Cricetulus griseus: one gene and its partners. The protein of the gene in region 1 binds, or shares a complex with, the protein of each later gene. Links are inferred from orthologs where the notes say so. Each region holds a gene or a part of one and is shown in the gene's direction. Other genes may lie near its edges.

Region 1 (3,500 bases):
ATTCAAATGATTGCACTTTAATTTGCATTGCAGTATCACTGTAGAAAGTTGTAATAATACACAAGGCACAGATGAGACGACTAAGGAAAGTGAAACTTCCCTTTCAGTTTTTATTGATATTGAAGTACCCATTCTGATCTGAAATCTAAAGTTCTGCCGTTAATGTATATTACTTGTTTCTTACTTTAGCAACATTATAATATACAAAAAGAGGGCATTAAAATGAAGCCATAGGGAATGTTTTAAGGTTGGAAGGCAATCCCTTTAGGACACTGACATTATTAGGAGAGCCATCTTTTCCTGGACCATCTCTGGCACTAACTGATAGGCTTGTATATCAGAGTGTTTGTAGTAACTTACTGACTTAAAAAAACAAAACAAAACAAAACTGCTGTATGAGCTATTCTGAGGTTGATAGACATCTGTTTCCCATAAGTGGCTGATAACCTGATTATTTAATCAAAAACTGTCCTGTTAAAATTGACCGAGATGGTAAGGGATCTAAATAGACAAGATCTTTGTGTTCTGCTTCCATCCTGGGATAATTATATGGTGTTTATTCAGTCTGTGGAAGATTTCTACGTTGTAGTTTCAGGACATTGGTTTATTTCTATTCAGTAGTAGGACTTTTTTTGTGTGTGGAAGTGGGAAGTAGAATTCATAATATTGCTGAATTTTGTAACTGTTTCGTGCTTAAATTCCCCACAATATTGTATTGTACTGTATGATTTTTCAGCATTTAAGAAGCGGTTTTGTTCTTTATAGCTGAACCAATAACGTTTCCATCTGGAGGAGGCAAGTCATTTATTATGGGTTCTGATGATGTTTTGTTAAGTGTACTGGGCCTTGGAGACCTTGCAGACTTGACGGTAACAAATGATGCAGACTATAGTTATGATGTAAGTGCAGTTTTATTTTTAATTTTTTAATGATTTAATAGAAGGCTCCTTATTCTTTGGAATCATTTATAACAGTGAATTAATGTCAAGGTGCATGGAAAACATGTTTAAGTGTGTTGATGTGTTGATTTGAAATAACATGTAATTTTGCTTTAAGTTTTTTTCCTTTGTGGTGTATAAATCTTTCTTAGGAATTTTGGTGGATTAGGTAAGAGTTTGGGGTTATTACCTTAAAATATTGGTTGTTAACTACATCTTGAGTAATTAACTCTTACTAAGTTAAAGCCATATTTTAGTGTTAACAAAATAAATACTATCGAAATCAGGTTTTTGCCATCATGAAAAGTCTTAAAAGCCATGTTTTGTTTTTGAGCTCTTATTTTGTCAATCACAACAAAGTTAGCTTGTATCATTTCCTAAATGTTTAGCTTCACTTGAGGGCTAGAAGAAGGAGATAGGAAGAACTGTGTTAGTATTAGACAGGTGTTGATATTTTCCAAGCATAAACACTCGATTAGAGTTAACTATATTTTAGATTTTTTTGCATTCACTTTAGTTTTTCAGCAAATTTCTTCCTTTTTTTAAAAAATTTCTTTTTTAACATTAAAAGAAATTTAGACTTAATTTAGGATGTTTTTTGTAACGATATTTGCCTTGGTGGGCTGGGCTATTGTTACTAATAATTTTTAAAGCATATTTACAACTAAATTGAGTAAACTTTTAACTGCTTTAGAATTGGATTAACAGCTTGTCTTTACTGATACAGAAGTAAAGGTGAAAAGATTGAGCTTTATTATTATGAAGGATTAGGAAAAAGTGCTTGCTCAAAGCCCTGGGCTTGATCCCTAGCACCACATAATCTTGGGCAGCGTAGCTCATTCCTGTAGTCCTAGTATCTGGGAGACAGGGCCAGAAGGATTGGAAGTTAAGGTTAATTACATATGAGCTCAAGGGCAACATGAAACTCTGTCTTTCAAGGAAATTAAAAAAAAAAAAAAAGAAAGATGTAGGAAAATATTCTTAAGGAGTTTTTAGTTCATTGTTTTAAAAGTCCCTTAACTGTCTGCCTTGGAATTGTTCATATACTGGTCAGTTTCCTAAATGGAAACTATTGTGTTTACTGTAACCTTGAGTATTTGGTAATGTTTATATTCTGTTTTGGTTTTGTGTAAACTATTACAGCAGTGACAGTTTTCTGTTCTCATCTATCTCATCTGACATTTGATAGGAGTTTTGGATTTATTTTTTATTTTATTTATTTATTTATTTATTTTGATGATTAGGTGAAAACAGATGATAAAGGAACTCTTCTACCTGGATATTTGAAAGTCTTACAAAATTATTTTTCTGAATTCTTATATTCTGAATTCTTACATAAAGATAGACTTGCTATGGAGTTTTTAAGGTCATTAAAACAGCTTCTGGATATTTTAGTGGAACAGTTTTATATGTTTTAAACACACCAAAAAGAAAACAGAAAGTCCACATGCCTGCCAGTTCGTTACTTTTACCTGTAAATAGTGCACTTTTTCATTTTAGTTGCCGGCCAATAAAGATGCCTTTCGAAAGACTTGGAACCCCAAGTATACACTACGTAGTCATTTTGATGGAGTGAGAGCATTAGCTTTTCATCCTGTAGAACCTGTGCTGGTTACTGCCTCTGAGGACCACACCCTGAAACTTTGGAATTTGCAAAAGACAGTTCCTGCCAAAAAGCAAGTATTTCAATATTGATTGTTTTTTCTTCTTTTAATTTTGTTCATATGGATAATTATTATTCTTTACTATTCCTGTGTTTTAGTATGTCTGTATTGTCAGCCAGTGATTCACAATGATTTACTGTGTTCTCTTCCCCCATCCCTTTTTTCCCTTTTAGGAGTGCCTCTTTAGATGTAGAACCTATCTATACATTTAGGGCCCACATGTAAGTTGGTTTTTTTTTTTTTTTTTTTTGGTTTATTTTTTGAAATAGTACTTAATGAGCAACTATAATCTCCAAACCTAATTTCCCCAATATTTGGTGTTAAAGGAGATATATTAGTTTAATAATGCCTTGTTTGATTAATTATATTTGAATATGATCAAATAGTACTTTTCAGTTGTACATTTTTACCTAAAACCTCATAAATGATTAGATTGAGGGATGTGGGGTTTGAGTTTCTTCTTAGAATTTATAAGTAATTTTTCCTCTCTTTCTATAATAGTGGCCCTGTTCTTTCATTAGCTATTAGTTCTAATGGAGAACAGTGTTTTAGTGGTGGTATTGATGCAACCATTCAGTGGTGGAATATGCCTAGTCCTAACGTGGATCCCTATGATACATATGGTAAGTAAAGGGGCACAATGGATCTTTTCAGTGAATAGACCTGACAGAATTCTGTAGTTCAGATGTTATTACAAAGTTGTTCAAACATATAATTTGTTCATTTAATTCTACTTGCTAGAAAGTTTCTTTATTTAAAAAGACAAATATTATGGCTTGAGAGATGGCTCAGGGGTCAAGAGCATTGGCTGCTCTTCCAGAAGACCCAGTTCAGTTCCCAGTATCCACAATGGCACAACTGTCTGTAACTCCAGTTCCCAGGGTATCTAACACCTTCA
Region 2 (4,101 bases), on another chromosome or scaffold:
ATTCAGATCTATCTTTATATCAATGTCACTAGAAATTAAGGATTTTCAGCAGAAGAGATAAGGAGTACAAACAGAAAATCAAAATACTGCTAAGTGAAAACCTCAGTTTTTAATTCGGATTCTCACGATTTACATAAATTGATTAAGCATGCCAGTAAGAACTCATCGACATCTAAAAACGCCTATTCACACTAACCCCTGACAAGCCCAGTACCGGTTATCCTCTGGTAGTAACAAACACAACTTACGCGCCCCCACCCCATCTTGTGACTATAAAGGCATCCAGGATTTCCTAAAATGTCTAACCCAAGACAGTTCAAGAGGAGAGACTGGAAAAGCATCGCTAGATACGAAGGGAGACGACACAGGAAAGGGGAGAGGTTTCTACACAGATCATTCAACTCGGGAGGGACGCCTCGTCCACACAGCAGCGTTAGGGGCCACCTCTCCATACCTCCCCCGGGCTTCCCAGTTCTCGTGCCTCCACTCAGGGCCAGACAGAGACACACTTGGATCCCAAGGCACATCACGGATTACCAATGCCCACTCTCTCCGGAAGGGCGTTTTCTGTTTTAATTGTCTCTCTATTCTGAGAAGAGGGAGGGGGGAGGCAGGGAAGGGAAAAGCAAATTTAAAAAAAAATTACAAAAATAACCATGGGTCGCTAAGAGAAGATAATCTTCACAAGGCTGCAGCCAACCCTGCACCTTGCTCCCTCTCAAACGTGCATTTTTCAGTCTTAAGGGGACGTGACTGTGAGAATTCATAGGAGCCGGTAAGGGGGCGGGGGTGGGGGGGGTCCCAGCGCTGGGCGTACACCCGCAAATACCTTCCGGCTCGCTGACTTCTAACCAAAGAACTACATGTTCCTCAGCCGGATAGCAAGGGCTCGCCCAGTCCGCCCCGACCAGCCTGTCCTCCACTACGTCACTCACCGCTCTCCACACCCCACCTTACGCTCTCTCCGCACCGCCCCGCAGAGCCGCACCCCCGCCCCCCGCACCTCCCACCCTCGCTCCTCATTGGCTCAGAGCCCCGCTCGTTTCCGCGGTTGCCAGCGGTAACGCGAGGCGGGCACAATTTCGGTCGCTAAGACGCCCCACTTCCGCTTCCGATCGCCCGGCGGAAAGCCCAGCCCGCTTCGCCCCGACCAATGGAGCGTGGGAGGTAGGCGGGACTTGGTTGGTGTGGACCAAACAGACGCGACCCGGGGCGGCCAATGGGGGTGGGACGGCCCCTGTAGCGTGGCCCGGGAGCCCCCACGCCCTCTCGCGTCCTTCTCTCTCCCCACCCGCTCCCCCGCCCAACACGGCGCCGCCCCGCCCGATCCTGGATTCCGCCCGGCGCTGGCCGCAGCTTGACGGAGACGCCGGGGAGCCAAGATGGCAGCTGCCGACGGCGACGACTCGCTCTACCCCATCGCGGTGCTCATAGACGAGCTCCGCAATGAGGACGTCCAGGTGCGCCCGGGGCGCCCTGCCCTTAGAGCTGGGTCGTGGGGGGGAGACCGGGGACCTGCGGGGCGGCGGCGGAATGCGGGACGGACGGGGAGACAGAGAGATGGCTCCGGCTGCTCCGGGAGTGGCGGAAGGCAGCGGCGGCCAATCAGCAGCCGCGTCTCATCGTGCCGAGGGGCGAGACTCCATGAGACGGCGCTCCTGATTGGCCGTGGGCCCCAGCGGAGGGCAAGCCTCGAGGGTCCCTCCTGGGCGCGCGCGGCCGCCCGGGGAAATCTGTGCCCGGCGGCCCGAGATGGGCTGGGGCAGGGAGCCTGGGGCCGGCGGCCCGTCGGGTGATTGGCGGCGGCGGACTCGGAATGACCCCCCCCCCACCCGGGGGGGCGCGTGAGCCGCCGAGGAGGGGAAGCCCTCCTGGGTGCTGGGGACCTCGATTTCCCCATTGCTCCTCGGTGTTTTCCATCCTGGGCCCCAGGGGTGCTGATAACCAGGGCAGCAGCCCACTCCTCTCGGGCCTCCGCCTCGTATTGATGCAGGAGGAGGGGAGAGGAGGACGTGGAAAGGCATCCTCCTCTCCCGAAATTCGACTAGCCTAATTCAGGGACGGGTCACGTGTGCACACGCCACCCCACCCCACACCCCCTTCCCCAGGCTCGCCCCAGGCCGGACTTTTTGCCAAGGGAGGTGATAGTTCAGGTTGGCGGGAGAAGAGTGACCCAGGCCCAGGGGCTTTTAGTGGGTCTGCTGTGGTTCTGAAAAAAAAAAAGAGAGAGAGAGAGAGAGAGGTCAGACCTCAAGGCCTGAGGATGACCTTGTGTTCACGTTGTTCCATCGCCCCTGGCTTCCGTTTTCTACCAAATACCGGCTAATAATAGTCCTGGCTTACCCCGGTGGCTGAGGAGAGGTAGTAAAATAAAACTGGCCGCTTGTAAAGGCCCCGTAAATGTTAGCTGTTATATTTGAGGGGAGTGGCTTGTTGTGGTACCGTGCTCTGCGGCGGTGCCCCTGTTTCTCCTGGTGGTGCACTGGGTAACCTGAGGCTGCGCCCAGCCTCTAAGTCTCGTGGATATGATTCAGGTTCTGCTGCCAGACAGGCTGGAGCTGTATTTCCGGGCCTTGCACGTTTTGCTGATTGACCCAGGCAACCCAGTGTGAATCTCTTCGGTTAAATGGGAATAGCAACCTGGTTTTAGTGTCGAGTAAACACATGCGGTGTTACCAGGAATGTCATTGTTGGGGGCAGGCGTCGTGGTGCATGCCTGCAATCTCAGCACTCAGGAAGCAGGGGTGGTAGGTTCAAGGCTAGCCTAGTCCACATAGTGACACACTCTGTTGTATCAACAAAGAAACAGGCTGGTTGCTGCCCAGGAGCCAGGTGTGAAACAGGTAAAGAGAACTAAATAAATATACTACCACCTGTGAAAAGGGACGAGACCTGTCGGTGTTGCGATAATGAATCAGCAGTTGTTTGTTGGGCCTGTGTTCTGAGCTGTGCTCTGGGTGTTTGGGTACATCTGGGAGGAAAAGGACAAAAACTGGCCTTGGAAGAATCTACCTTGTAGTGAGGAGTGGCAGATTGTGTTGACTGTGAAAGGTTGTAAAGAGAAAAATAAGGAATATAGGGTGTATTGTTAGAGTAAGTGTGGAGAAGTCTTGTTGAAAAGTTGAGCCGGTACCTGCTTGTGGTCAAGGAAGGAATTGTGGGGTTCTGGGCAGAGTGCATAACATCTAAATGTTGGTCGAGGAATTGGACCAGTTCAGAGACTCCTTCCAGGATGCAATGCTTGAGAAGTTGGGGGTGAGGCTTACAGAAAGAGGGACTATACCTGTGCAATGACTGTAGTCCTCAGCTTGAAGCTATTTTTGCCACCAGGGATGTTTAGCAATGTCTAGGGATGTTTTGGTTGTCATAACTGGGAGATTGTTGCTGCTTTTAATGGGTATGCGTCAGGAATGCTGTTATACATTGTTGTTGTGTATAGGCCATCCCTCATGGAAGAAAAAAAGTCCCATTTAAAGACATTGGTACTAAGGTTGAGGGAAGCTCTTGGATGAAATATGCACCCAGGGATAGTAAGGAAGTTGGTTAGTTTAGGTCATTGTGCCAGTTTTGTAAGGCTTCTGTAACACTTTACCATAAATTTAATAGTATAGAGCAGCATAAAGTTTTATTTATGGTTCTGGAGATGAGAAGTCTGTCATAAGTCTCACTGGGTGAACATGACCTAAGATCTGGCAGCTGATTGATAACAGCCTAGCTTTGAATTCAAGCCACATGGCCTCACAGCTTTCTGCCTCTTCTTCAGCATTCACAGTGCCATCTTTCTGGGGGGGAAAAAAAAGGACATTGTTAACAAAATCAAAATTTTTGAGTGAAAGAACAGCTGCCCACAGGTGGCAGGGAAGCGCCATATTTAGGATCCCAATTCTTATGCATATTTGGTTTTTTGAGGCAGGGTTTCTCTGTAGCTCTGGAGCCTGTCCTGGAACTCGCTCTGCAGACCAGCCTGGACTGGAACTCACAAAGATCTGCCTGCCTTTGCCTCCCAAGTGTTGGGATTAAAGGCATGCGCCACCACTGCCTGGCTAATGCTTAGTTTCTGGTTGGGGGTTCATTGCTTTCCATAAAGTGTCTGCATCAGCA
Region 3 (4,164 bases), on another chromosome or scaffold:
TAATATAAAAAAGCATAAGCAAATCCATAAGGAACCCCAAATAAATCCCCAAATGATCTTTATCAATAGTAGCAATAACGAATGGTTTATTCAAGATGAACATACCTGAAATAAAGGTGCTCATCGGTGCCATTCAGAAACTGTCTCAGTAGACTAGATGTCAAAGTTTAGTGTTAATTCTTCAATATTACTGCATCATTCTAGACTTGCATGATGTCAGGAAAGGTATTTCTCTGTTATGATTAGAGTTCACTTGTTTACTAGAACTATAAAACATTCTCTTAGGTAGTTGTAAAATTTAAGTAGCTGGAAACAACACATTAGGCCAAAATTGAATGGTATATAAAAATATATTAAAAATATATAAATATATATAAAAACATATAAAAAGTGATCAAAACTTCAAGGTTAACCAAGAGCAGTGTCTATGAGTTTAGCCTGATAATAAATATACTGTTCCGCCAGGCAGTGGTGGTGCACGCCTTTAATATATATATATTCCTCAGAATACACATACCAACATCAGAAAAGAATTCTAAGGAAATGCATTTGCTCAATTAACAAATATATATTGAGGACCTACTTGGTGCCACAGAACATTGCAGGGCTCTGGGAATACTGCAGTAAACAACAACAAGCAAGATCACTGTCAGAGAGTTACCATTCTTCTTGAATAACTTTCACAGAAGAGAAGCTGTATCTCTGGCCTCAAGCACATAGTAAGGTTGGTGGTCAAATAAAAGGCATGCAATGTCAGAAATACAAAGAAGGATCAACAGTGTAAGCATTGCTTCCATGTACACATGGTAGGATTCTGAATGTGAGCACAGAGCAACTATGAAAATTGGATGGTGGGTCTAAGAAAGTTCAATGGACCTACCTGAGGTGGGTCTTTAATGATGGAGCCTGATTCACATTACTAAGAATCACTGTTGGTCTCATCTCATCGTCTCAGACCTTGTTAACAGTGCAAATTCTTGGGCTAACTCCAGACTTGCAGGTTCAAAATCTTCACTTTGAAAGGATCCTCTGAACCCAGCACAGTGGCACACGCCTTCAGTCCCAACACTCAGGAGGCAGAGGTAGGTGGATCTCTGTGAGGTTGAGGCCAGCCTGGTCTATGTAGGGAGTTCCAGTCTAGGCAGGGACCTTGTCTCCAAAGCTAGACAAACAAATATTGTGGGACCATGTCTTCAAAAACAGACAAACAAATAAACAAGCAAACCCCTTTGAGATCTTTATGGGCATTAAAGTTTAAGTGGCATTGCATGCTTCTGAGTAGGCTAGTATAAAGTGTGTGCTGGGCTAGTGGGAAATAGACACTAGATTTGGTAGAAATAGAGAACACTTAGACTTGAAGCACTATGACTAAGGAAGACGCAATGTTGTCCTTTAATAACGTTCCAAGTAAACAGAAACCATATAGAAGGTAGTTAAGTAGTCAGGAGGTACCTAGATTGGAATTCTCTGATGTATCACTTTTTAATTGCAGTATTTGAGTCAAATGTTTACTTGGCTGAGCCTTTTGCTCTGTTTGCTCAATGGGGAGAAAGCAGTGTGACCCAGGTGAGCTCTTGTCACAGTAACTCACTACAAAACACAAAGCCTGAATTTAGGGCTGTCTGGCCCAAAGAAAATAAAATATTAGTAATAACCATGTTGATAAGAACCAGATTCTTCTCTTGGAGAAAACAGACACTCAACAAATGCTATTCTTCCTTTATAATTAATTGAGAATAGCAATTGCTGAGTGTCTACTTGGAGCTTCCCCCACAGTGTGTTGGGTGCATAGGTTCGGAACAAACTGCAAAGGTGTGTTCTCATGTTAGACTGGCTCTTGCCTATTATTAGCATTAGCCCTTTCTGTGTACACAAAGGTGCTTCCTTGAGATTCCTGTGACTGCTATTATTATCACTGTCACTGTTGTTATTGGGTCCCCCCAAAAGGGCTTGCCTTGTTCCTGGAGTTGAGTTTAAATTGGAAAAGGGCAAAGGGTTGCAGAAGTCATGGCTATGTATGCTAAGTATAACTATCTGTGCTGCCAAAGATCTAATCTCATGCTCCTTGCCCCTGTTATCCTCCTTAATTTTTTTGCCAATGGGCGATCCGTTCCAATTTGCCGCTCTTTTAAACACGCAGAAATTGTGAGAAGTTTCAGCCACTCCATTCCTTAACTGATAGCCTAAGGTAGGGACAGGTTCATGATAAAGTGACTTGAGGCATATCTAGGGGTAAGAAAGTTGAAAAGCAAGAGGACAGGAGCCTAAGGCGCTGAAGGAGCAGGTGTCTGGCTCGGAGGCCCCACCCTCGGCCAGGTGGGGGAGCCAAGCAAAACTTTTTCAACTACAGACCTCTGTGAGGCTACACGCCTCTGTGAGGTACACAGCCTCCCCAGCCTGTCTGCAACGTGGCCGGGTTCATCCGGGTCGCCCTCATATCCCCCACGCGACTCCAGCTCTCGCACACTCTTCTATTTTTCTCCAGGCCCAGTTGTATTCCAAGTTTCTTGATCCCAGGCTTCTGCTGCTTTTTACAAATCCGGAGAGTCTCCTGCTTCTCTGACTCCAGCTACTTTAGCCAAACCCTTTTGCAGCCTGAAGCTTCAGCTCCCCAGACACCGCCCGGCAGCGGGGTGGAGGCAGGGCCAAGTGCGGAACCGCCCCCAACCTCCTCCCAGGCTAAGCGATCGGGCGGGTTGCTGGGGCGCCTCCACCTCCTCTTCCTAAAGCGGCGAGGCGCAGCCGAGCGGCATCACTGGAGCCCAGGTCCCAGCCACTGCCGCACGAACAGCCCTGCATTCAGGAAGAGGAGCAGCAACCCAGTTGGCCACGACCTCGGCAGGCGGGTGTCTGAGAGGTAAACTGAGTCCCGGGGAGCAGTGCCGCGAACCTCTCACCTCCCAGCAAGGGGGTTGGAGGAGTGGAGGCTGCAAGCCTCCAGCCCACTAACTCCACTTCTCTGCGTCCTTCCAGGCCCGGATCGAGAAGCCTGGGAGAGCAACCGAGCTACCCCTGTAGGAGGAGCCAGTCTGAGCCGAAGGCGCCACCACCGCAGAAGCAGCGCGAAGTAGCAATCGCCTCCATGGCCCACTCACCGGTGGCTGTCCAAGTGCCCGGGATGCAGGTGAGAAAGCCCAGGCCTCCTCTGCCACCCACGTGACTGCTCCAGAGCCCCGCTCTGGGCACCAGAGACCAGGGGCAGCCACCGGGCAAACCTGAAGGTAGGGCCAGATCTCTCTCCAGGTGACCCCGAAGTAAAGCTCGAGGTGTTTCCTGGTGTCTGGGCTAAGAAGGTGCTTTGCGCGGGAGAGATTGGGGCGACTGGGGCGCGACAGTAAATGGGGGTTGGGGTTGGCGGGGAGGGGTGCACATATAAAAATAGGCCAGAACCTTAGGCACCTGTACTTGTTGGCTTATTGATCATGCCATGGTTGAGGACTGGGGGGGGGGGGGTGGCGGTGTTGTTCCAGAACTTAACCTAGATGAGATGAAGGGATCTTGGGATGTGTGGGCTAAAACACCCAAGCGGTGCCCCCCACACGGCACACACACAGAAGTTGGGGCGGAGCGACACCAGGAGTGGTGGTGGCATTGAATTGGGCTCTTCCTGTGTGCAAAGAGAGAAGAGTGAGATGACTTCTTTTCCCTTTCAGTGCTACTTAAAGCAAACTTGTATCTCGCTCCCCCACCTGTACAGGGGAAAGTGCTGGAAAGAATGCAGGGTCCCATTCTGAGTACCTAAGGGATGACTTCCCAGGCCCATCTCTTCATCTCTCTCATAAGGTGTATTAAGCATTTGTCCAGTCCAAAGGACTACTGAGTGGGATCCAAGTTCCTATTCGATGTCTATGCAGTTCTGCCCCATTATGGTATCATTTATTAGGGAAAAATCTATGTCAACAGACTTTTTACACATCTTGTTTTTTTTTAAACCCACTATAACATTTTAAACCATTTACATTTGACCCCCACCACCTGGTAGCATAAACAACTCCTTTATGAAGAATAGATCAGAGGCTAAAAACACTGCCACTGGTTTTATGTGATCTTTTAAATATGCTAAACCAACCAAAGAAACTTTTTTTCAAGTTAGAAAATGTCTGGAACATTGCATAACTTATGTTTCTAGTAGGACTCAAAACTCTGTGGATTGGAGATTCATTT
Region 4 (3,500 bases), on another chromosome or scaffold:
ATTCTAGTCTTAGGTCCTTCTCTGTGTTCTTCAGTGTCACAGCTCCCTATCTGATACCTTTCTGTTCCATTTGAACTGCTTGCCTCTGCCATCATCTCATCAGTTGTCAAGCTTTCTCGGCTCCCGTTCCCTGTGCTTTCAGGCCTTGATAAAGCAGGACAATTTAGATGCCTTCAATGAGCGGGACCCCTATAAGACTGATGACTCTCGAGAAGAGGAAGAGGAGAATGACGATGACAACAGCCTGGAGGGGGAGACATTTCCCCTTGAGCGAGACGAGGTGATGCCTCCCCCACTACAGCACCCTCAGACTGACAGGCTTACCTGCCCAAAAGGGCTCCCTTGGGCTCCCAAGGTCAGGTGAGTCTCAGAGTTCTAGACCCCTCATGTCCTCAGGCCAGTGTTGACCTGAGCGCCTCTGCAAGGCTAAGATGACCTTAAACTATCCCATGCCATCCTGGGCACATCTGTGAGGATGGTCTTGCTGATAGCACACAAATAACCCTTGTGCAGCTCCTGTGTCAGTAATTTGAACTGGTCAAATTTGATAGTGAAGAGAGATAGGGGAAAAATAAAATGTGTATTTAGGCAAACCTATCCCCACTTATATTAGAGTTGTATATGGCTTTTTATATAAAACGAAAGATGAAGAGTTTTATAAAACCACTTAATGCATTGAACAGTATCCTTGGGTGAGTCAATAGATGGAAAGGTAGCTAGAAATGTGTATCTTAATAGGCAGCATCTTGTGTTATGAACTGAATAGATGTGTATATGAACTGATGTAAAAGGGGTAAGTCCTCAGCTTTCTGGGTTGAGTGAGAAGAATGTAGAACCCAAAAAGCCAAGGTGTTTCTGTTGAGACAAGAAAATGACCCGTTTGAAGTCTGTAACTTATATCTCTTACACTTCTTAGTGTTTGAAAGTATTAAATATTACTATTGTTTGAATAAATTGTGCTTTTAAGTTTAATATGCCTCCCTGATTTTGAGTCAGCTAGCCATGAATGTTATAGAAATATAAACGTACTTCAAGTTTATGAACACAACAAAATTAGCTGGAATTCAGATTTTTCCCCTTATTGTAAGAGACCTTTCCTTGTCTTAGAGTCACAATTTGGAGATGCTTTGATTATTAGAACACAGGCCTAAGATAGTAGCATACCTTGAAACAATACGTGGTAAAAATCTGTCCCTCTTTCTTCCTTTGGTAGAGAGAAAGACATTGAGATGTTCCTTGAATCTAGCCGCAGCAAGTTCATAGGCTACACTCTAGGCAGGTGAGTGTGACCTGAGTTCCTTTTGAGGTTCATTCGCCTCACCTTGGGGCAGTAGACAGGTGCGTGGATGTCTGGGCTCAGCACAAGGTTTTCTTTGTTCTCCAGTGACACCAACACAGTGGTGGGGCTGCCAAGGCCAATCCACGAAAGCATCAAGACACTGAAACAGGTAAGTGGCCCTAAGGGATCTTTTGGCCTTGTTTAGTCCCAGGTGAGTAAAGTGAGAAAGGACAAGCCTTTCAAGGCTATTATCTGCCAACAAGAGCTGGGAAGCACTTCTTCTTAAGTGTGACATCTTTTAGGGATGTGTTATACACAGCCTTAGAGTTGAAGGAGCCCATAAGTAGGCTTCTTATAAGAAACCTTGGGTTTGAGAGGAGTTGCAGGTTTAGATGATATTGTCAGCCTCGCTGTTCACAGAATGGTTGGGGAGCAAGACTTATGAGCACCTTGAGTGTGCTAAGTTTACTTTAGAAATCTGGCAGGCTCAGTACCCAGTCCCAGACAGCTGGAGGGCCAACAGGACAAAGGCTCTCAGCAGGTAGCCTGGTGGAGTCTAAAGCAGGGGTGGGGCCAAGACCATTTTGCTTTTCTCCTGTGCTCCCTGCTGGGAAGGAGCTGTGGGAGTAAGGATGAGGTGGGGAGGGGGGAGACACCAGGGATCAGGAGGAGTGTTTCTGATGTATCTGGACTGTCGTATTTTAAGTCCAGTTTTGGAATTGGTAATACCACGTGGTCTCTGCAGCTAGGCTTTTTGAGTACACAGTTACTTTTGCCTCTGATGTCTTTTGCTCCTGTCATTTTTGCTTTTGAAAGCTCTTTCCCCCACTGTAGTTTGCTTTTTGCTGATCTACTGTGGGCTTTTCACAGAGGCTGTCAGAAGTAGATGCCTCCTTAGAGAGCTATTATAAGTTTGCAGTTTCTTAGGGATCTTTGCTATGACTTAGCCCTCTCTCAGAAGACCAGAATAAAATCTTGGGTCTTTGCCAGCCTGGGGAGGGGAGAGGGAGTGTGGCTAGAGAGTAAGGGTGTTTTTCTCAGCACCATATTTCTTGCCTCTCTTTTCAGCACAAGTATACATCAATTGCAGAGGTCCAGGCACAGATGGAGGAGGAGTTCCTTCGCTCTCCTCTCTCAGGGGTGAGTTTAGGGGCCTACAGCCATGGTGTCCCCAACTGCTCTCAGTCTCCTAGCTGGGCCTGGTCCATAAAGCTGCTCTGCTCAGCCTCTCCTTGAAGAGATTCCAGTCCGTGTCCTGCTCTTTCAGTCCCTGAACAGCAGCTTGAATACAAAACTTGATCTCTTGGTGCTTTGTTCCCTGCCTGTAGAAAAAAAATAAAAGCGGTGATAGACTAGTGCCTTCATTGTTATTTACTTGCTTGTTTATTTGAGATAACATCTATCTATAACCCAGATGGCCTCACTGTACAGCTCAGAATGGCCTCAGATACCTCTCGGCCTAACCAGTGCTGTGGTTACAGGTGTTTGTGAACATGTATGACTGTGGTACCTTATGAAGAAGGTTATAATAAGAATTAACTAAACTATCCAACTGAAGTTCCTGCCATGCTGTATGTTTCAGAACCTCCTGTCATTATCATCAGTGTCACTCTTCACTTTAATACTTAGAGATTCTGGCTCAGGAGACTGTAGTCTGGACATAGGTTTTTGTGTTTGTGACTTTGTATTAAAGGGAGAAGAAGAAGTTGAACAAGTTCCTGCAGAAACCCTCTACCAAGGCTTGCTCCCCAGCCTGCCTCAGTATATGGTGAGTACTCTGTCTGGGACCTCTCTCTCGGGGTGATCAGTGGGTACCTGTGATGAGATACCCTATAGGCTGATCTCCTTCACCCCACAAGGCTCCTGCCACTTGCAGACCCCACTTCTCAGGACTCCATTATGGCCCTGGGCTCTGATGCCCATCTGAGTAGTCTGCTTTTCCCAGATTGCCCTCCTGAAGATCCTACTGGCTGCAGCTCCCACATCAAAAGCCAAAACAGACTCAATCAACATCCTGGCAGATGTTCTGCCTGAGGAGATGCCGTGAGTATCAGTGCTATGAATGGGTAGAAGAAAGAGGGCCAGTGTTTTTCAGGTTGGTTTCTTTTGTTGGCCCAGCTTTGCTGCAGGTTAAGTCAAGGGTATTTTTGATTCAGATGAAGGAAACTACTGGATAAGTTTCCCTGGCTAGAGAGATGGCGTAGCCTGAATCTCAGCACAG
Region 5 (3,500 bases), on another chromosome or scaffold:
CACTGAGGTTTTTCATTGGCATTTTGAAGATTCAAGCCAACACAGCAGCAGGAGGGAATGCTGGGAGTAATTTGGAGATAACCAGAACTAAATGAGATAAACTGGCGAAAGCTTCCCAGAAGAAACCTGCTGGCCAGGTGTTGGAAGGGGCACTGAGATATTCTTGCCAGAGTAATAATAATAAGCTCTAAGGTCATACATGTGAGGATTGCCGGGAAACCAACAGATTGGGAACTGAAAAGTTGTAAAAGAAGGAGAAGGAGAAGGAGAAAAGAAGAAGAAGAAGAAGAAGAAGAAGAAGAAGAAGAAGAAGAAGAAGAAGAAGAAGAAGAAGAAGAAGAAGAAATGGGAAGATTGCAGTAAATAAGGTGGTTCTTCTGAATCACTTAGGTCTGTGCTCTAACCAACTTCCAGCTGCCAACACAAAGATCATTTTGCTTAAGGCTCCGTCTGCAGCCCACACTGGGCAGTCAGGAAGTGGGGAGAATTGATACACTCAGTTCTCAAAAGTGACTAACAAGATTGAGAAGATAGGGGGTTGGTGGGGGTGGGGGCTGGGGGAGGAGGGAGCTGGGATTGACATGTCAAAAAAATGTCAAAAAAAAGATTGAGAAAATAATTTTGCTTATCTTACTCTGGGGTGAGCTAACTCTGAGTTGTGTGTTTTGTACTATTTCCAGAAAGTCCCCTGTGATTAAACTCTTTGAGCTGCCTCACTTCCCCTATTTCTCTTCTGGAGATTCCTGAAGATCCCTTCCCCAGTAGACAATTTGCATTTGAACCCTTATCTCAGGATCCACTGCTGGGGTGGGGGTAGGGGCTTAAGATGGACTTTTCTCCATTGACTCACTCATTTAAGGAAGTTCTTATGGGCCCTGTTTAGTCCGTGAAGTATGGGGAAAATTCCAAGAGCATGTGGCAGGGTGGAAAGAACTGGGGTAGCTGCCCCCTCCCAACTCCTACTCAACTCTCTGATCCTCTAGGCACTTTTGGGGAATGTGATTCAGAGGTGGATGTGCTTCACTGGTCCAGATACAACTGCTTCCTGCTCTATCAGATGGGGACCTTCTCGGCCTTCCTGGAGCTACTCCACATGGAAATCGAGTGAGAAGCCCTAGTGGAGGGCTGGCTTAGAAACGGTCTTAACAAAAGGGTTCACATGTCTGTGGATTTCCTCAGCACATTTCCCGACAGGTGTTGAGTCACCTCACATCTCCACTCAAAGCTCACCGGCAGTTTTCCCCTACCCCCTTTCTTTCCAGATTCTATGTTCTTCTACAATCCTGGGCTTCACAGGTTACCCTTTTAATCTAAGTACCTTCTCAGCTGAACCTAACTCTGGAATTCATATAGAAAACTTTTTCCATCGCAAACACAACACAAGAGGAACAGACGAGTTTCTGTCAATGTGCCTAATTATTTCCCTCAAGAGTTGTAACCGTAGAAGTGGCCCGTCTGCTGCTGCTACTACTACACTGGACCCTCTTTCTCTTACACCTGCCATCCAGGAGTTTCAGATACACTGAATTCTTTTGATTATTTATCAGGTCTTGCTTAGTATCTGTTTTGTGTCCAGAACAGTGGTAAGCATTGTGGGTGAAAGACCCCCGGAGACCCAGGCCCTCGGGATCTCAGCCCAGGACCATGGCCACCCCAATCACCATGCGGAGGCGAAAGCTTGATACAAACAGCACGAGGCTTTATTATAGTTGTTTAACGAGCTAACCCCATGTTAGTTCAGGTCTTTCATCCATCCACCATAGCGGATGGCTAGGAAAGACGCTTGGAAGCTACTGCATAGAGATCTTGTAGGGCAGCATAAGGGGAGTGTCTAGGGGTATGCACAGGCTCAGGATTGGCTTGGAGGGTTTGCCCTGTGTTGATTGGTCCCTTCATGGGGAATCACAAGAGAAATTGATACCATAGACCTTATCTTTTGCCTGTCTTCACCATAGATGAGGGTTTACTGAGGTAGCAAGGGAATTCTATGGGTTCCTGTACCTTAGATCAGTTTCACTGTGGATGTATAAGCAGGGAATGGCCGGTGTTTGGTAAAGAGTGAGTGAGAGCAGAGAGGAAAGAGGCCTTATGGGTCCCTGTTCTTTCATTCCTCTCCATGGCAGCAACAGCCAGGCCTCCAGCAGTGCCCTTCGGAAGCCAGCCGTCTCCATTGCTGACAGCACTGAGCTCAGGTGAGTGAGGGAGACCTTGGGCTTTGGACAGAGGGGTGATTAGCCTGGGTTACCCTTTTCCAAATCCCAGATGAGTCAGAAGTTCCCTTTTAACTACTCTTATCTGATTGGACTCCCACTGACATCATCCTTCAAGTCTCTAACTATAGTCTGGGAACTACCTTGGGAATCTCTTAGGATCCTTTTGTAACTTCTAGGGTGCTGCTGAGTGTCATGTACCTAATGGTGGAAAATATCCGCCTGGAGCGAGAAATAGACTCCTGTGGGTGGAGGACAGCCCGAGAGACCTTCCGAACTGAGCTCAGTAAGAACTGGCACTCGAGGAGGGGTGGGTATGGAGAATTGAGGGTGGTTGGGAGGCAGAGTTCCTGCCCGGCGGAGGAAAGCAGTGCTAACTTGTTATCTTTTTCTTTTTAAAATTAGCATCTTTTCTTTTTTAAGACAGACATGTTTCATGGGACATGAGGGCTGGGTTTTATTGCACCCCGAGTGTCTTAGTTCCCCTAGTTAGAAATGAGGATAACCATTCCTCTCTGGTTTCATCATGAATCCCATGTTGGGGGGAAAATGAGCTGAACTGCCTTAAAAATGGAACCTTTTTTCTAATGTAAGTTGAAGTAGTCATCTGAGAGAGATAGGATATGAAAGCATTTAAAAAATATATTTATTAATGTAAATAAGTAAAGAATAAAGTGTGGTCCACAAGATACCTTGATTCCTTCAGCTAGAAAGTCACATGAGAACTTCCTTAAAGTCCTTAAAAGTAATCATTACTGTTACTTCCTATTTGGTATGACCCTCAAAGCATTACCTTAATGACCTCTAGGGTGGGGCATACTATTTTACCACAATATCCTCCTCAGTCCTGTGCTTTAAGGGAATTGCCTCTGGGGGCTCATTATGCCTCCTCTCAATACAAAGTGCTCTGGGAGTTTTCAGGGAGGTTGAGTGCCTTCCTCAGTGTGCCCAGACTCTGGGATTTTTACTACGTCATCTCTGATTCTCTTTATACCTCAGGCTTTTCCACCCATAATGAAGAGCCTTTTGCCCTCCTGCTCTTTTCCATGGTTACCAAATTCTGCAGTGGCCTGGCGCCTCACTTTCCAATAAAGAAGGTTCTGCTTCTGCTCTGGAAGGTGGTTATGGTGAGTGATCTCCATTCCCGTCTCACTGATCAGAGCTAGACAGCAGAACTGGCTATCTGTTAGCCCCAGCTAACTGAGAGGAGCAAAAGGCCCACCTAGAATCATCAAATATTCTGTATCATTGGGTTTCTGTTTCTATTGGATGAATCCATTGGATGTCACT
Region 6 (3,959 bases), on another chromosome or scaffold:
AAAGAAAAAAGTATCGGGGTAGTGGTGGCACATGCCTTTAATCACAGCACTAGGAAAGCAGAGGCAGGCCTGGTCTACAGAACTAGTGCCAGGACAGTTAGGGCTACACAGAGAAAACCTGTCTCAAAAAACAAAAAGAAGAAAGAAAAGGAAGGAAGGAAGGAAGGAAGGAAGAAGGGAGGGAGAGAGAGAGGGAGGGAGGAAGGGAGGGAGGGAGGGAGGGAGGGAGGGGGAGGGAGGGAGGGAGGGAGAAGTGAAGCAAATAAACTTACCTAATTCATTTTTCCAATTTATTAAAAATTGAATTTGTAGCCGGGCGATGGTGGTGCACGCCCTTAATCCCAGCAAGTTCCTGGAACTTGCTCTATAGACCAGGCTGGCCTCGAACTCACAGAAATATGCCTGCCTCTGCATCCCGAATGCTGGGATTAAACATGTGCACCACTACCACCTGCCTGTTTATATTGCATACTGAACTAAAATTTAGTGTATCACTGGCTGTTTTCCCCACTTACTCCCACAAGTCCCCTGCCCTCTACTCTCTATGGCATCCCAAGACAATAAACCGGTAAAAGGCGATCTGGAATCCATACTGTTTTTCTTTTCTATCCATTAGCGAGTCACAGTTCTTGGGTGTGTTCTATTAGATAAGGGAACTGCCATCTCACTTGTGTGTCATTATATTTCTTGGGTGCCACATCCCTAAGTCCACTGCCACACTGGTAAGTGTAGCCTTCAGTAGTTTTGCATACAGTCCCAGTCCTCATAATCTAATCTTAAAGCATTGACAGCATCCCAAAACATAGCTTCGATTTGAGACCTGAAATACTAATGTGTGTGTGTGTGTGTGTGTGTGTGTGTGTGTGTGTGTGTGTGCGCGCGCGCGCGCGCGCGCGCACGCTATTTGTATACACAGGTGCAGTTGAGTATGTGGAGGTCAGAGGACAACCTCAGTCACTGTTCACCTTTTAAAGGAATGGGAAGGGAGGGAGGGAGGAAGACAGGAGAGAGGGGAGGGGAGTAAGAAGGGAAGAAGGGGTGGGAAGGAAGAGGAAGGACAAAGAGGAAGGAAGAGAGGAGGGAGAAAGTGAGAGGTTCCAGTGTGTGTTCACTTGTGTGGGGGGGGGGGGAGGTGTTTGTTTCATCGATTTGTTGAAAACCCATGACTAAATAACAAACCACATCCATCAAAACCAGAAGAAAAGGAGAACTGAGACAGGAACAGCTGTAACATCGTGAAGAACCAGAATTTGGGACCAAGTCGACCTCTGCGGCTCCACCCAAGAAAATCTGCGGCGAAGCCTGAGTTACCGCGAATCCGCCACTGCGCAGACGCCGACCAGGCTGCCCAGGCGCCTTTAAAGTGTGCCCGGAAGTGACGCGATCGCGCTGATCTCAAACTGGGGAAGGGCTGAGCGAATCGCTGAGGCTAGCGGGCCGGGCGGGCGTCCTCGGCCACTATGAGCTGCACGATCGAGAAGATCCTGACCGACGCCAAGACGCTGCTGGAGCGGCTGCGCGAGCACGATGCGGCGGCCGAGTCGTTGGTGGACCAGTCGGCCGCGCTGCACCGGCGGGTGGCGGCGATGCGGGAGGCGGGCGCCGTGCTGCCCGAGCAGGTCGGGCCGGGTCGGGCCGCGCCCTGGGCGGTGGGCGCTGCGGGGAGAGGGCAGGTGGGGTCACCGTCTAATTATCCTGGTGCGGAGGACAGGGAGGGCTTGAGAGCTTCCTGTGGAATGGGTGGGACTGCTGCCGCCTCTGCAGCACCTGCTGTGTTTGCAGCGGCTTAATCAGTCTCTCTGTCCAGTATCAAGAGGATGCACCCGACGTGAAGGACATGTCTAAATATAAACCTCACATTCTGCTGTCTCAAGAGAATACCCAGATTAGAGACTTGCAGCAGGAAAACAGAGGTTAGTCGGGCTGTGTGTGTGTATGTCTAGTAATACTTTGAACGTTCTTACACAAGTGCCTGAATAAGTTCATAAGCTTACACATCTCATAACTAGGGTCAGTGCTTAAGGTCAGTGCTTAAGAGGGTCATCTGGTAACAATAAAGTCTATTAGGTTGCTCTTTTTTAAGTCTTTGAAAGATGAGTTTGAAAGAGTTGTTTAGTAGAGTTGAGTTGTTTGGTGGTTGGGGTGGGCACATACCAGATGGAGGCTTATATAACTAAAATTCAGAGTCTCAAAATGTAATTTCTGATATATGTTAGAGTGAACACTAAAGTTAATATCGAAGTAGGTTTTTTTTTTTTATTTATCTATTTTTTTTTTAATGTTCCTGGGCAAGATGGAAGGCTGAACTTTGTCTCCAGAATATACATTCTTCGGGTTGGTAATGACAACAGTATGGCAGTTGTCTTGCAGAGACCTTTTTACACCTTCCGTTCCATCCCCTGTTGTCATTTTGAAGTCCACAACCCAAGTGTTTACACAATGCAATTAAGAAACAGGTTCACATGAGCCAGCAAGATGGCCTAGCAGGTAATGGCACCAGCCTGAAGAGCCAAGCCTAAGGACCAGAATTCCATTGGAAGGAGAGAAATGACTCCTGACCACACATGTACACTGTGGTATTTGCACACAAATCAACAAAATGTGATAATATTTTTTTTAAATGGGCTCATTTTGCTTCTGAGTCTTAATTAAGCAAGTAAATGAGAAAACTGAATTCAAATCTGTGTCTTATGATTACATATCCCATTTCCTTCTACAAAAGTCCACTGCCTAGAAAATTGTTTTTCAGATAGACTTTACTCACTTCTGTGGGCTGGAATACCAATTTCCAAGTTTGGATTCACAATATCCCATGGAGTATCAGAAAGCCCCAGCTGTTAGGAGGTTTGCCTTGAGACCTGTTACAGACATCATTGCCCAGATGTTTGCTTTTTTGTTAGAGCTGTGGGTTTCCTTGGAGGAACACCAGGATGCTTTGGAACTCATCATGAGCAAGTACCGGAAACAGATGTTACAGTTAATGATTGCTAAAAAAGCAGTGGATACCGAACCAGTTCTGAAAGCTCACCAGTCCCACTCTGCAGTAAGGAAACCCTGATACATAAATTATAAATAAACCAAACTGAAATCCTGAGTTGTTGTTTTGTTTGCAGAAAAGCATGTTCCTCTTTCATGGTTTTCATAGTCACTCTATCTGACTGAAGCTTTGTGAAGATATGAATAAAGGAAGGGGACGGGGGCTTCTCACATCCTTTTGGATGGTGTCACCTCTCTCACCAACATCTATTTTTCAACCTGAGATAGGACAGTTTAGAGTTGTAGGCCAACCTGGACTACATAGCAAGCTAGATAGCAAGCAAGATGGCAGCTAGCGTTGAAGGCATTCCGTGAATACTTTGCTGATTACTTGTATGTTCTACTAAACCATGAGTTTTGTAGTGTTGAGGGCATTAGTTCAGTTTTATCCATATCTTCCACATAGCAAGTAGTCACTAATTTCATTAAATTATTCACATTATGTTACCGGGGAGTCTTGTTCATTTTGTGGCAGTTCCTCTATTTTAGTTTTAGTTGCTTACTATTTAATTTGGAAAAAACTAACTAGTTTTTAGTTTCTACAGTGCTTACTTATTATATATTTGCATGTATTGTGTATTTTAATTTTTAGTTCTTAAATTGGAAGCTACTATTTACTACAGTGAAAGATACAATTTACATTTCATCTCCCATTCCATTAGGTGGATTTTACTGACTTACAAGTTTTAGGGAACTGGGATGTCTTTAAATATCTAAATATTTGAGTTATTGTCTGTTTTGTTACTTGGGGATGGGGACGCTAGGTCCCATTTAGTCCAGGCTGGCTTGGACTAATCCTTAACTCCTAATCCTTTCTCCTCAGCCTCCCAAGGACGAGGATTATGGGTATGTGCCACCACACCTGGCACCTGGGTGTCAAATGGTCTTTAGAAAAATGGAAATTATTTGACGTACCACAGATT
Region 7 (3,500 bases), on another chromosome or scaffold:
TGGGTAGGTATGTATGTACCACAGTGTAAATATTAGAAGACCACTTATGGAAATTGGTTTCCTCCTTCCATGTGGTCCAGGGATCAAACCCAGGTTGTTAGGTTTGGTGACAAGTGCTTTTACCCACTGAGCCATCTGGTCTTGGTCTTTTTCTTTTCCTTCCTTCCTTTTTCTTTTTTGTTGTCGTCATCTTCTTTAAAAAAAAAAATAGGTTTATTTACTTTACGTGTATGTGTGAGTATATGCATGTATGCATGTGTGCATCACATGTGGGAAGTGCTTGAGATCACGTGGGCTGTTGGGAACCAAACCCATGTGCTCTTAACTACCGAGCCATCTCTCTAGCCCCCTGGCCAAACCAGAGCACATACGGACACCACAGCTAGTCTGCTCAGAGTGCCTGCTCTGGGCCAGGCATGGCACTGTGGCACACACTCGGGCCTCTTGGAGGCAGCTTTGCTTAGAGGGGTTAGGTGACTTCTGTGTTAAGACACTGCCCTTGTGCCTGGAGTTCTTCCCCGAACTTCTCTCTGCTCACCTCATCTTGTTCTGCAGTTCTTGGCTTGTCGAGGGCTGGGGAGTGTGGTCCTCTGTCTCTTCCCTTTACTTCTTTCACGGTTAAAAACCTTAAGAATGTAGCTAGTTGGCAATTTTGTCTCAGATGGGGTCTGAAACCAGTTGCTTTGCTTGCAGAGAAGAAGCTGGGGCAGTTAGGCTTCAGGGAATCAGGCAGCTATGTCAGTTTTGGAGGACAGGCTTCTTAGAAACATGGTAAACACCTAGGACAGGCTCTTCCCTAAGCAGAGGGATTTGCGCATCAGTACTTAGACAGTTGTAAATAAGTGTGGTTTTGCCTTTTTGTGTCTCGGCCTCCCACCCCCCCATTTGGGAGCTGAATTCCAGGCCTTGGGCATGCTAGGCAAGTGCTCTGCCACTGAGTTATTTCCATGGTCCCCCCCTTAAAAACAAAACAACACCTCTCCGTGTGTGTACCATGGCATGTGTGTTGTCACTGGACAGCTTTGGGAGTCAGTTCTCTTCCACCATGTGGTCTAGGGAACCAAACTCAGGTTGTTAGTCTTGGTAGCAAGTGCCTCTACCAGAAGAACCATCTTACCCGCCTGATTTGGGTTCCTTTTAACAGGCACCAAAATACTGTTTGGGGGACATCCTTTTGGGGTGACCATCTCCTAATGGAGGTGAAACTTAGCATGGTTGAAAACCTGGATGAGACTCAGCATTCCCCTTTGAGGTCTTGTGCCAGCGTGGCCAGTGGTATGGAGAACATGTTCTTTTCCAGTCTGCCAGGTAGCACAGTAGGGACATTCAGTGGTGGCCCTGGGAGAGGCTCTTCTGCTTCTTTCCTCTCTGGAGGCAGCCCTGATTCAAAACCTAGCGTGGTTTGGACAGAGCACACACCTTTGCCATCCTGGCTCATCTTCAACATGATCGGTTCAGCAATGATAAGATCCTAGTTAAATCTGAGGGCTGTCTAGGGTAGCTTGTAATGATAAATCTTTACGCCCAGCTGCCTGAGTCCTGCTGCCATGTGGACGCTTTCCACCAGGCCATCTGAGTTCCGCCCGCCACCACATTAAGGTCCCAAGTAACTCCCAGAGACTTATATTAGGTACAAATGCTTCTGTGTTTAGTATCTAGAATTAAACATCTGAGAAAGTGTTCAACTCAGTACTGGTATGAGAATGTAGCTGGCTAGAGGACTAATTTGAGAATAGAGAGGCACTTTAAGTATGGAAAACATAAGTTAGCTTTGCTAAATTTTAATCTCTCGTTTTGTTTTTGATTTTTTGAGACAGAGTTTCTTTGTTTAACAGTTCTGACTATCTGGAATTCTGGAACTAGCTCTGTAAATCAGGCTGGTCTTGAACTCAGAGATCTGCCTGCCTCTGCCTCCTGAGTGCTGTGACTAAAGGCATGCGCCATGCCTGGATGAATTTTACTTTTAAATTACTGGGGCTATGCACATGTGAGTGCAGGTGTTCTCCAAGGCCAGAGACCTCAGATCCCCTGGAGCTAAGGTTGTAGCAGTGAGCACACACTGTAAGACCAGTGTGTGCTCTTGGCCACCAAGCCATCTTTCCAGTCCATTACTTTGTTGTTTTTTTTTTTTAGAACAGTTTTAGATTTATAGTAAAATGAGTTTTACAGTACCCTCTGGCACGCACATACTCCTACCTGTCATTCCTGATAGGTCTTGGCCTGGCTCTCTGTTAGACAACTGAAGAAGGCACTTTGAGATGTGGTATTGCTAATACATTTGATTCTAAATATACATTTGAGTTGAGTCTACAGATACTTTGATTCACTGTATCAAGTCTATTGAATATAGTGTCACTTGGAGAGTGGAGAGTTACATTTAGGTTTTCTGGACAAGGGATAAAGAAGCCAGAAAAGGATTGAGGTGAGTTCTCTTTAGCTCCTTGCAGTGGCCCAGACCCTCAGTCAGCAGTCAGCCCTCTTCTAGTATTTCCTCTAGTGGGTGTTGTCTCAGCATTCTGTCCCTTCTGGCTTATGTAGAATTCTCGTGTGGACCCAGAGGAACTCTTCACCAAGCTTGACCGCATTGGCAAGGGCTCGTTTGGGGAGGTGTACAAAGGCATCGACAACCAAACCAAGGAGGTGGTGGCCATCAAGATCATTGACCTGGAAGAGGCAGAGGATGAGATTGAGGACATCCAGCAGGAGATCACTGTGCTCAGCCAGTGTGACAGCCCTTACATCACCCGCTACTTCGGCTCCTACCTGAAGGTGCTGCCAGGAGAGGGGGCATCTATGGGAGTGGGGGGGCACTGAAGGCTCTGTGCCAGGGTTTGTCCTGTTTCCAGAGGAGTTACTATGTACCCAAGGTAGAGGAGAGCAGAGAAAGGCACTGCTGGGCACATGGGGATCCCTCTGGAAGGGCAAAGAGGCTCCCCTTTACCCCAAAGCTCAGCTTCACAAAAAAGTCTGTTCTTTTGAGAAGTACAATCTACAAGAGTCAGGTGGCTCTAAAGTGGTCATAGTGACCCAGCTGTCTTATCTGTGGGTGCTGTTAGGTACAGTCTAAGGGGTCCCTGCTGGCAGTACTGTGGAGGTCTGCCAGGAGGGCACTTGGGCTATTGAAAAAGACTTAGTGACTGCTCTGGGCACTTGGTCTGTCCACCAAGTGCCTGTACCAGAGGTATGGTAGCTGGGTGGTCAGTAAGACCTTTTCTCCTGCCCCTTCCTCTGGACAGGGTCTCTGCAGACCAGCCTGGCCTTGAACTCACAAAAGATCTGCCTATGTCTCTAAGTGCTGGAATTAAGGTGTATGCTTCCTTTTTTTGTTTGGTTTTGTGTGTGTGTTATTTTGTTTTTAAGACAGGGTCTCATTGTGTAGTTGTTTGTCCTGGAACTCAGCCACCTGCCACTCGAGTGCTGGGATTAAAGGCATGTGCCACCATGCTTGGCTTGGCCCTTCTTTTTAAAAATATTAATTTATTATTATTTTTACCTATATG

The links.
Region 2: the proteins of Strn3 (region 1) and Ppp2r1a are in contact, whole or in part, in a crystal structure (PDB 6IUR), measured with the Homo sapiens proteins. The link is inferred for Cricetulus griseus from reciprocal best matches to the Homo sapiens genes STRN3 and PPP2R1A. Residues at the interface, in NP_001077362.1 of Homo sapiens: Asn109, Leu110, Asp113, Arg116, Arg117, Lys119, Met120, Leu121, Tyr123, Ala124; in NP_055040.2 of Homo sapiens: Leu10, Pro12, Val15, Asp18, Glu19, Asn22, Leu27, Asn30, Ser31, Lys34, Leu35, Thr37, Ile38, Leu40, Ala41.
Region 3: Strn3 (region 1) and Stk26 share a complex: the UniProt entries of both Homo sapiens proteins name them as parts of the core of STRIPAK complex. The link is inferred for Cricetulus griseus from reciprocal best matches to the Homo sapiens genes STRN3 and STK26.
Region 4: the proteins of Strn3 (region 1) and Strip1 are in contact, whole or in part, in a cryo-EM structure (PDB 7K36), measured with the Homo sapiens proteins. The link is inferred for Cricetulus griseus from reciprocal best matches to the Homo sapiens genes STRN3 and STRIP1. Residues at the interface, in NP_001077362.1 of Homo sapiens: Thr64, Pro66, Gly67, Leu69, His70, Tyr71, Gln73, His74, Val88, Glu89, Ala91, Glu92, Ala95, Arg96, Phe99, Leu100, Glu103, Gly106, Gln107, Leu110, Asp113, Leu114; in NP_149079.2 of Homo sapiens: Arg441, Ile445, Tyr447, Leu449, Thr455, Val456, Val457, Gly458, Leu459, Arg491, Ser492, Pro493, Leu494, Ser495, Phe792, Leu793, Pro794, Val795, Asn797, Cys798, Leu799, Val802.
Region 5: Strn3 (region 1) and Strip2 share a complex: the UniProt entries of both Homo sapiens proteins name them as parts of the core of STRIPAK complex. The link is inferred for Cricetulus griseus from reciprocal best matches to the Homo sapiens genes STRN3 and STRIP2.
Region 6: the proteins of Strn3 (region 1) and Sike1 are in contact, whole or in part, in a crystal structure (PDB 6AKL), measured with the Homo sapiens proteins. The link is inferred for Cricetulus griseus from reciprocal best matches to the Homo sapiens genes STRN3 and SIKE1. Residues at the interface, in NP_001077362.1 of Homo sapiens: Arg176, Leu179, Tyr182, Leu183, Val186, Tyr188; in NP_079349.2 of Homo sapiens: Glu96, His97, Ala100, Leu103, Ile104, Ser106, Lys107.
Region 7: Strn3 (region 1) and Stk25 share a complex: the UniProt entries of both Homo sapiens proteins name them as parts of the core of STRIPAK complex. The link is inferred for Cricetulus griseus from reciprocal best matches to the Homo sapiens genes STRN3 and STK25.

Annotation. Positions count from the first base shown.
Region 1 is NC_048598.1:150,652,855-150,656,354, forward strand, and holds part of Strn3 (striatin-3), read left to right. Parts: intron 1-765; coding exon 766-899; intron 900-2,438; coding exon 2,439-2,614; intron 2,615-2,775; coding exon 2,776-2,823; intron 2,824-3,103; coding exon 3,104-3,225; intron 3,226-3,500. UniProt on the Homo sapiens protein: Calmodulin-binding scaffolding protein which is the center of the striatin-interacting phosphatase and kinase (STRIPAK) complexes.
Region 2 is NC_048602.1:19,092,718-19,096,818, reverse strand, and holds the start of Ppp2r1a (serine/threonine-protein phosphatase 2A 65 kDa regulatory subunit A alpha isoform), read left to right. Parts: upstream 1-1,301; 5' UTR 1,302-1,382; coding exon 1,383-1,460; intron 1,461-4,101. UniProt on the Homo sapiens protein: The PR65 subunit of protein phosphatase 2A serves as a scaffolding molecule to coordinate the assembly of the catalytic subunit and a variable regulatory B subunit.
Region 3 is NC_048604.1:19,104,084-19,108,247, reverse strand, and holds the start of Stk26 (serine/threonine-protein kinase 26), read left to right. Parts: upstream 1-1,364; coding exon 1,365-1,407; intron 1,408-1,492; coding exon 1,493-1,566; intron 1,567-2,387; coding exon 2,388-2,857; intron 2,858-2,973; coding exon 2,974-3,124; intron 3,125-4,164. UniProt on the Homo sapiens protein: Serine/threonine-protein kinase that acts as a mediator of cell growth. Modulates apoptosis. In association with STK24 negatively regulates Golgi reorientation in polarized cell migration upon RHO activation.
Region 4 is NW_023276806.1:49,539,204-49,542,703, forward strand, and holds part of Strip1 (striatin-interacting protein 1), read left to right. Parts: intron 1-142; coding exon 143-360; intron 361-1,213; coding exon 1,214-1,279; intron 1,280-1,384; coding exon 1,385-1,448; intron 1,449-2,347; coding exon 2,348-2,419; intron 2,420-2,972; coding exon 2,973-3,047; intron 3,048-3,224; coding exon 3,225-3,322; intron 3,323-3,500. UniProt on the Homo sapiens protein: Plays a role in the regulation of cell morphology and cytoskeletal organization. Required in the cortical actin filament dynamics and cell shape. Part of the striatin-interacting phosphatase and kinase (STRIPAK) complexes.
Region 5 is NW_023276806.1:197,891,294-197,894,793, reverse strand, and holds part of Strip2 (striatin-interacting protein 2), read left to right. Parts: intron 1-11; exon of another isoform or gene 12-368; intron 369-983; coding exon 984-1,104; intron 1,105-2,123; coding exon 2,124-2,192; intron 2,193-2,389; coding exon 2,390-2,496; intron 2,497-3,209; coding exon 3,210-3,337; intron 3,338-3,500. UniProt on the Homo sapiens protein: Plays a role in the regulation of cell morphology and cytoskeletal organization. Required in the control of cell shape. Calmodulin-binding scaffolding protein which is the center of the striatin-interacting phosphatase and kinase (STRIPAK) complexes.
Region 6 is NW_023276806.1:53,975,811-53,979,769, reverse strand, and holds the start of Sike1 (suppressor of IKBKE 1), read left to right. Parts: upstream 1-1,159; 5' UTR 1,160-1,460; coding exon 1,461-1,619; intron 1,620-1,807; coding exon 1,808-1,913; intron 1,914-2,900; coding exon 2,901-3,043; intron 3,044-3,959.
Region 7 is NC_048595.1:445,073,187-445,076,686, reverse strand, and holds part of Stk25 (serine/threonine-protein kinase 25), read left to right. Parts: intron 1-2,538; coding exon 2,539-2,769; intron 2,770-3,500. UniProt on the Homo sapiens protein: Oxidant stress-activated serine/threonine kinase that may play a role in the response to environmental stress.